2 linked regions of the Oryzias latipes genome follow. The protein of the gene in region 1 binds, or shares a complex with, the protein of each later gene. Links are inferred from orthologs where the notes say so. Each region holds a gene or a part of one and is shown in the gene's direction. Other genes may lie near its edges.

Evidence for each region.
Region 2: trappc11 (region 1) and trappc12 share a complex: the UniProt entries of both Homo sapiens proteins name them as parts of the multisubunit TRAPP (transport protein particle) complex. The link is inferred for Oryzias latipes from reciprocal best matches to the Homo sapiens genes TRAPPC11 and TRAPPC12.

What each region holds. Positions count from the first base shown.
Region 1 is NC_019868.2:27,368,340-27,372,892, forward strand, and holds the start of trappc11 (trafficking protein particle complex subunit 11), read left to right. Parts: upstream 1-1,714; 5' UTR 1,715-2,040; exon of another isoform or gene 2,041-2,120; intron 2,121-2,617; 5' UTR 2,618-2,639; coding exon 2,640-2,843; intron 2,844-2,968; coding exon 2,969-3,138; intron 3,139-4,553. UniProt on the Homo sapiens protein: Involved in endoplasmic reticulum to Golgi apparatus trafficking at a very early stage.
Region 2 is NC_019880.2:20,779,022-20,782,840, forward strand, and holds part of trappc12 (trafficking protein particle complex subunit 12), read left to right. Parts: intron 1-1,001; coding exon 1,002-1,115; intron 1,116-2,212; coding exon 2,213-2,351; intron 2,352-3,819. UniProt on the Homo sapiens protein: Component of the TRAPP complex, which is involved in endoplasmic reticulum to Golgi apparatus trafficking at a very early stage.

The sequences.
Region 1 (4,553 bases):
GTCAGATGTAGGTTCAGAAAAAGAGGCATTGTTCTTATATTGCTTCCGGAAACTAAACTCTTAGAAAACTAAAGCTTGGATGGATAGATGCTTTTTCCCCCCGCTTTTCCTCTGTACTAAACTGATACAAAAAATTTTTTTTTCACTTTTTATATTTTATTTCATTAAAATTCTTCTCTTAGCTCATGATTTGTTCTAGACTTTTTTGAAAATCAAACTTCCCATCAGATAATTCTTCAACATTTCTGACCAAAGAAATACACAAAAAATAAAATTATTCCATCTGTCAGTATTTATAATTTACATAACTTTTAATGTATTTTATGTATTTATTCATAAAAATAATATAAACATTACTTATAAAATAAATATAATTTTATTAGAATTTATATTTGTGCTATTTCTCTTTTTTTATGGCAGTCTGTTTAATTGAATGTTAATATCTGGCCTTCAACTAATTTGTGATATTTTTGCTATTATGTAAAATGTTTTTCTTGTTTCCTAAATCCTAAAATAAAGATAGAGGGATAGAGGGAAATTGTTTTACAGATTTATTTTTCTTAGTTATGTATTGTTTTCATTAAAAAATGTATTCACAAATTTTTTTATTATGACGTTATTGTTCTGGTTGAGCCAGTTTAGCTCGTGCTGGTTTGCGGCGCCTTCCGTCCGTGAAACCCAGGTTCGACTCCGGGCTGCTCCCTCTTCCCTTCTCTACCTCTGCCGGTTCCAAGCCCGGTTTGAGAAGGTTGCGTCAGGAAGGGCATCCGGCGTAAAACATTGCCAAATTTACCATGCGACTTGTTCGCTGTGGCGACCCCTGATGGGAGAAGCCGAAAGTGGAAAGGAAAAAATGACGTTATTGTTCTGGTTGCTTCTCTCTCGCCTGGAGAAGTTTGTCTTCTTCTTTCTTCTGGATGCTTCAGCCACACTTTGGCTTATGAGGAGATCTATAGGACTGAATGTGGAATATTGGAGGATTTGTGGATTTTATTTTTCTACTGTGTTGCTGCAACAATGACCACAGGAGAGAGGAGGGAGTTGGAGAAAGGCATCGGGTATCCCGGACAGAATGCTGCTGCTCACCTCTAACATAATCTGCATTTTACTTTTTTTTTCTTCATTAATCAGATTGGATCTTCAAACCTGTTTAAATTTCCTATTTTCGTCATTGTATTGTTCTATTCAACTTGGTTTAAGTATCAAATTGCAACTGTGGTTTTCTTGAGACATTTTACAAAAAGCAAATACATTCAACTAGGCTAAATGAATCATGATTTTTATTATTATAAAATAAAAATTGTGTATAATAAAGCTCATTTGTTTTAATTGTGTTTTAACAACAGGCCATATGTGTCAAACATTGTCTTGAAGGGTTTTCTTGATGCATATTCCTTGTTGCTGGGCAAGCAAAATTAGACAGTGGGAAGAAAAGAATTGCTATAAGGGGGGAAAAAATAGTAACCTCACATAGTTAAACAGTCTGATCATTGACTGAGAGGACAAGACAGAGACAAATGTGAAAACTGTGGAACATTTTACATTAAGCAAATATGTGCATTTGCTATAAATCCATATAAAAAAAAACTTACATTTGCATTCATTACTTGGTGTTTGTGCACTTTATTTTCCTTTTACTCCTTTTCCATGTTGCTTTTCTTTTCTGCAGGAAAATACAAGGGCTCTTCGTTTTATTTTGAAAAACCAAGCCGGATGTGCAGTTCAAGTTTCCCAGAACAAGCTAACTAGCTGGAGACTTTCTGGTCTCGTCAGCAACCGCAGCTAAATCCGCTGTCAGTTTTTGATTCACAGATAATGTCAGAGCAATGTTTAGCGTTCTAATGGTAAATAGAGTTAGAATCTAGCTTTTGTGAAGTTGGGCGGCCGGAAACTAGAACTAAATACTCGCCAAGGAAATGTTCAGCCTCGCCCACTACTACTAGCCAGCTTGTCACTCCTGAGCCGCTGACAGCTAGCCCATTAGCTGAGCCTTGCTGCTGCTGCACTGCTTTCACGAATTCACCTAGCAATGCAACTGAGGTAAGCTCCCCAGGAACGCGTCCATGATGTTCTCTCTCACAGACATGCAATTTTGAGTCGCCTTTCCGTTGAGCTAAACGGTTAGCATCGCCTTCTGCTAGCGTTATCCTGTTTGCTTAGTTCCGCTTTCGTCTCTGCGTTTGTGTTTTATAATATTGGCCGGATGGTGGTTCAAAAATATTCAATGACAGCTACTCGGTCCGTGTTGTGGAGGATGTTTCTCAGCAGCAGATAATCCCTGCGCTCCGTGAAGCCTCGATGGGAGCTGCTAAGTTCAGCTCAACACCGGTAGATGTAAACAAGTGTCAAAGCTAAGAAGCTAAGAAGCTAAGTGACTGCTAACCAAGTCCAAGTCTTGTGACCTGCTGCTGGATAATATTTACGTCTGTTTATTTATTTATTTTCAGTTTTTCTTGCATAGGTGCATGTTATTTAGTCGGTATTTTTCTTGCAAAATACTCATTAAGGTTTCATAAATGAAAAGTATGTGTTATTTTCTGCTTCATTGACTAAACGACATGTTTAAGCTTCCTCTGCAGGGGCTCCATTATAGAGAGATCGTGTTTGTTTTGTGCAGGTGTGTCTGTTAAAGCATAAGGATGGCTGGTTCCCAGTGGGACCTTCCCCCGGAGCTTTGCTGCCGGCCCATGGCTTTTGTGGCTCTGACTGGTCTGGATGTTGTGTACAATGCTGTGCATCGGGCCATCTGGGACGCTTTCTGTGCCAACCGTCGAGCTGACAGAGTCCCCATCTCTTTCAAAGTGCTCGCAGGAGACCACGAGTATCCCAAATGTCGCACCAAGGTGACGAATCTGTGCAAAGTTCATTTAAAAATATTACTTTTCTCAGGGATTAACAATCCTACTGAGATTTAAAGAAAGGAATTCATTTAGGAAGGTAAATGATTTTTGTTTTTCTTCTTAATTAGCGGACATCTTACGAGTGGTACATCCCCAAAGGCATCCTAAAAACAGGCTGGATGAACAAGCATCTGAACCTGGTTCCTGCTCTGGTAGTTTTGTTTTACGAACTGGACTGGGATGACCCGCAGTGGAAGGAAAAACAGTCTGAATGTGCGACGAAAGTGGAAATTGTCAGGTAGGTGATGGCGACAAAACTACATTTAACCCAAAGCTGTCAACGGGGGTGTTGCGTTGCAGTTTTAATCAAACCGACATGCCTTTGCATCAGCTATAACCTCAATAATGACATTAAGTCTAGCCAAACTTTAACCGTAAAGGCGCTGAGGAGACTGCACTGAGGTTTTGGTTGTGAAGCTATAGATTAGGTGGCACAAAGGTGTGAAAGTTCCAGTGGGGTGCAGGGCTGCATTCATGACACCACAACTCACCTAAGGGCATTCAGAGACCAAACTGACACCAAGAAGGAACAGCAGCAAAGGCTGGTGTCCCGCTAAGACGTACATAAGCACGTGCGTCTGTGGAAACGTTTGATTTTTTTATCTGGACGTCCTTTTAATGTGACTTTATGTATGAAAAAAAAAAAAACATTTTAAATTAAAAAATATACATTTATTAAAAGTCATAAATGAAAATGTGCTTCACTTAATCATAATATTCATTTGTTAAAACAGGATTGATAGTAATAAATATACATTAAAAAAATGTCTTGCCTCTCATAAAGATTTAATAAATTTACACGCACAAATGTCCAGTTTAAGCAAAATCACAAAGATTCTTTTGTGAAGAAACACTAATCAAGCATCTGAGATGAAGGGGGACATAAAATGTCACATTTACTAAATCATTTGATAACAGTTGTGTTCTTCACTGCACTGTATGTGTTGGAGAAGAACTGTATTGTTTGTCCTGTGGGTGGCGCTATCTTGGGAACCTAACATGTAAAATATCTGTAACTATGAGGCTGTGGTAGAATAAATTAGCTTTATTGTCATTGCACAAGTACAATGACAAATGGTTTTCGATTGCTGTCACCAAGTTAAATAATATGTCCTGTTGACCTAAAGAAATATTAGTTTTACTTGCAATGATGGACGAATCCGAGAATCTTTCTGCTGTGAAGAAAACGGCGTTTCGTCCGCAGAAGGCATCAACCGTTCCAAGACGCCAGTCCAACGCAAAAACGACAGGAGTGCAAAAACCATTTCCCCCTCAGACCAACGCACAACCAAAATACTTTTAGCTTTACTCACTACACGCTTTATCCACAGACTTGAACATTTTCACACTTTTCTCTCTTCTTTAAACTCTCAGAGGTCAAACCTTCATAGAAAAATAAGTCCAGGATTGTAAAATTTGAAGAGCTGCATGCATTCTGTACAGGAGACATGGCGTGGAGGAGGTTGATTGACAGTGGTCTAAAACGTATGTACAAAGTCTGGCCCGTGGGCCAAACGCAGCCCGCATTCAAGTTTCTACCGGCCCGCAGGCTCCTACCATAGAATCAATCATATCTGGCCCCCAGGACTTTGTAAGATTTGCAGTTCTTGGATGTGTTTGGCCAAATTACAGTATTTTCCGGACTATAAGTCG
Region 2 (3,819 bases), on another chromosome or scaffold:
TGGAAGAAGGCCAGTTTTGTCTCACAACTCAAATACTGCATGAGCTCCAGGTTTTCCAAGAGGTGAAGTATTTTTGGAGATTAAAGATGAATCAGGGGATTACAGGAATATATCGAAATCCTCTTCATTTTTTAGATGATTAGTTGCCAGGTTGCTCCATAAATTATGGAGCTGAGACGATGTGTCCCTCTGATTATCATTTGAATCTGTAGGTAGCTAACAAAGTCCACGTATGCCTCCATTGATGGCCGTCGTGGTTGGACCACAGTTTGATCATTCTGTTTACTGACGTTCACCGTTAGGATCTCTACCAAGTCCAGCTTTGAACAAATCACTGAGATGATATGTCATCAGTTGGGGTTTTACAGGTTATATATAGGTTTCATGATGGAAGTTTTTCACTGTTCCCCATCACTCTCTTCAGTTACAGTGGCGATGCCTTTAGGGATCTCCAAGTCTGTGCTGACTCGTCCGAACTCCAGCAGCACCATTTATAATCAGCTCACAGGAGAGGTGGTTCTAGAGAACGCACACAACTCTCTGAATCGTGTTTGTCTGTGTTCTCTGTTTCTAACTCAGGTTTCTAACTGATGACGGTTTTCAGAAGAGCCGCTGAACCCAAGCGCTGACCTTCATTGCTGTCATTTTTTAACAGATTGTTCAGCAATCAGCACCACTTTTTTCTTTATCTGGAGTGCATACAGACGTTTTCCCCTTCGTTGTGGATTTTGCAGTGGAGATGAGCAAATCCATTTTCTGCTTTAGTTTTGAATAACTCTTTTTCTGTTGCTTTAACCTTAGTTTTATGTCCCCCGGTCACGCTAGTCTTAGAAACTTTGTTTTTGGGTCAATCAGTGTTGAAAAGAATGAAGACATGAAATGAAAAGTGCCCTGATGACAGGAAAACAAGGTATCCGTGCATTTAAGCGCTCTAAAAAATGTGTTGCTGTTGTTCCACCGGTCAGCAGGTCTCAAACATGCAATGCATTTGCCCCCTGCAGAGCAGCAAGAACTGGCGAGCAGCAGTGGATCTGACGGGACGGCTGCTGACAGCTCATGGTCAAGGATACGGCAAGGCCGGCCAAGCGGCGTCTCACACCACCGACTCTCTGCAGGTAGGATGCCAGCAGTTTCTCTGCAGCCATCCATCTCGCTGTCTTCCCGCCACTCGAGTGCTGTGTTTCTGTGGGCAGGAGAGATGAATGAAGCCAAGGCGCATGTTGTGCTGCCTAGTAATGCGATTACTTCTTAGTAGGAAATAGAACCCGTCCAGCAGTAGACCTAAGAGCATTCCTGGAACAAAATGTTGTTAGCTACCACACCTGAATAGTTAAACTATTTTAGAAGATGCCTGTCTGATTTAGAGACATGTCTAGAATTTTTGACTGAATTTGAATGCTACTTTCTACTGATTACTTTAAAGGGTCTATATCCTGCTTTTCTTAAGTCTTTTAGAGTAAACTAAATCCACATTTATGATCATATATGACCTTTGACCCACTAAAGAACCATTCTTTTGTGAAATATGAGTTATTTTTGCTCATTTTCCTACCTGGAACTAAGACGACTGGATCTCTGAGGCTCCGCCTTTCTCTCCTTGTGGGTGCCGCCCATTTCGTGACATCATCCTAGAGTTGGCCTCAGCATAGTGTCTGAGTTTCTCCCATGAAAACAACACATCTGAACATTTCCAAAGATGGATGTTCATATTGTTCATAAATGGAAGCATTTAGCCGATCACTAGCTCCACGGAGGAAGTGGGCGTGTGTGTTAGACTGGGGGAGGGGATTGCAGAAAATTCTCTTCCTGGAAGGGGCGGGTTCTCACTTTGTGATGTCACAATGTGACAATGAACCCGCTCATTTTTGTGGATTGGGAGGGGCTGGTCCTCAGAGAGCAGGTTTTTAGTGGAATACTTAGAAATGAGTGAATGGATCAAAGTACCACTTTGGGGTTGTTTTTCATGAGGAATAAACATTATAAATCACTTAAAAGCTCATAAAAGTTGACTTTGCATGATATAGACCCTTTAAATAATGATGCATTGAAACATTCAGGACGTTTCAGAGAGAACGCAGATATATGAACCTCTTTAACCCATTTCTATGTGAAATGTTTGTATGGAAAATGCCACAGTGGTGCTGTCTGCCTGATAACACCGGCTGGAAAATGGTTTTACCAACAGTTTAGAATGATTTTCTGTGTGTTCCAGCTCTGGTTTGTACGCCTGGCTCTGTTCACCAAGCTGAACCTTTTCCAAAATGCTGAGCTAGAGTTTGAACCCTTTGGCAACCTGGATCAGCCAGACCTGTATTACGAATACTACCCAGCTGTTTACCCCGGGAAGAGAGGTATGTGTAAAAACGTCGAACCTTCCCCCATCTGATGAGTGAAATTATATATGAAGGAATGACTTTCAAATTAGGTTAAAGACAGTGAGATTTCAAAGGTTACGCTCCTCAGTTCTACACTCAGACTTTAACTCTCGTCTCCTTTCATGTTCCATTTGTCTAAAACCTGCTAAATTCAAATGTTTGCTGAAAAAGTGTCATGAAGTAATTGCAGCACTATTGTTCTGCTCTCTAGGAGAATTTAGCCTCATACCCGCATTATTAACACTGCACCACAACTTTCTAATTAAATATTCACAGGAAAGTTTCTGCCAGGAGCTTCACATCAGACTGTATCATTGACAAACTTCAACAACTCTACTTGTCTCCAGCAGTTCTCTGGTTTTGTTTTTCCTCTTTTTACACTGCATGAATCGCTCTCTAATGTATTCCCATTACTTTGGATCTGCTTCACCCTCTGGCTACCACAATGAAGGCAGTATCAGAGATACAGCTGCACACACACACTTGTTCTTAAAAAAGAGCAGCGCTCAAAACGACATCGCACAGCCTTCTGACAAGCGCACCCATTGACTTTCCATTGCTCAATATTAAACCCTTTATGCCCACTGATTCCCCAGAGACAAACTGCTAAGTTGTGTAGTATAGGATCAGAAGTCCAACGTTTGTATTGTCTGATGCATGTGTAGGCTGTTTTTTTATCCCCAACAACCCTCTGTTAACGCGATAAAAGAAGGCTTATACCTGTGTCATCACCAAGAATTGAGAGTAACCCTTGTGCTATCTAAGGCCCTTTACCATTGGGAGTTGGGTCATCTAGACCCACTACTAGACAGTGCTCTGAACCTTTTTTCTCAAATGATTTGTGATCTTCACTGGTGTCCATGGATTACATGAAATCTTTCCACCTTTATCCACCTTTGTCATGGTAGGGAGAACACGTCAATGTAAGGGTGGGGTCATCTAAGATAGCACAAGGGTTAACTCAGCAAAAGCTTGCTCATCCCTCATTGTCTTGCTTTTGAAATAAAAACTGAGTTTAAAATGGACTGTTAAACAATGGCGCAGTAACGTCACTCAGAAATACACTCATTTAGCAGGTAAGCGTATAACAAACGGTAGTTTCAGTAAATCTTAGCAATAGTAATCAACCAACAAATTGCTGTTTCTGTTTACCAATATGCATTTCCAGCAGACTTTCTGCCTCTGCTGTGTTCAATTGTTAGACTGCAGACGCCCCAAAGGTGGCGCTAAATCAGGGACGTGTCGGGTACGGACAAAATGGAAGGAGATTTTCAAACAATGATCAAATTTTGTAAGTCTTAAATAAAACTTCACATTGGTTCCTAAAATGCAACCAGTGGTATAAGGATTCATTTTATTTACTGGCCTCAAATGGATCCAGATCATCTTTAGCCAAACAAACAAGTCAACTAGAATGAATGTCAAATCCATTCACATGTTAGTT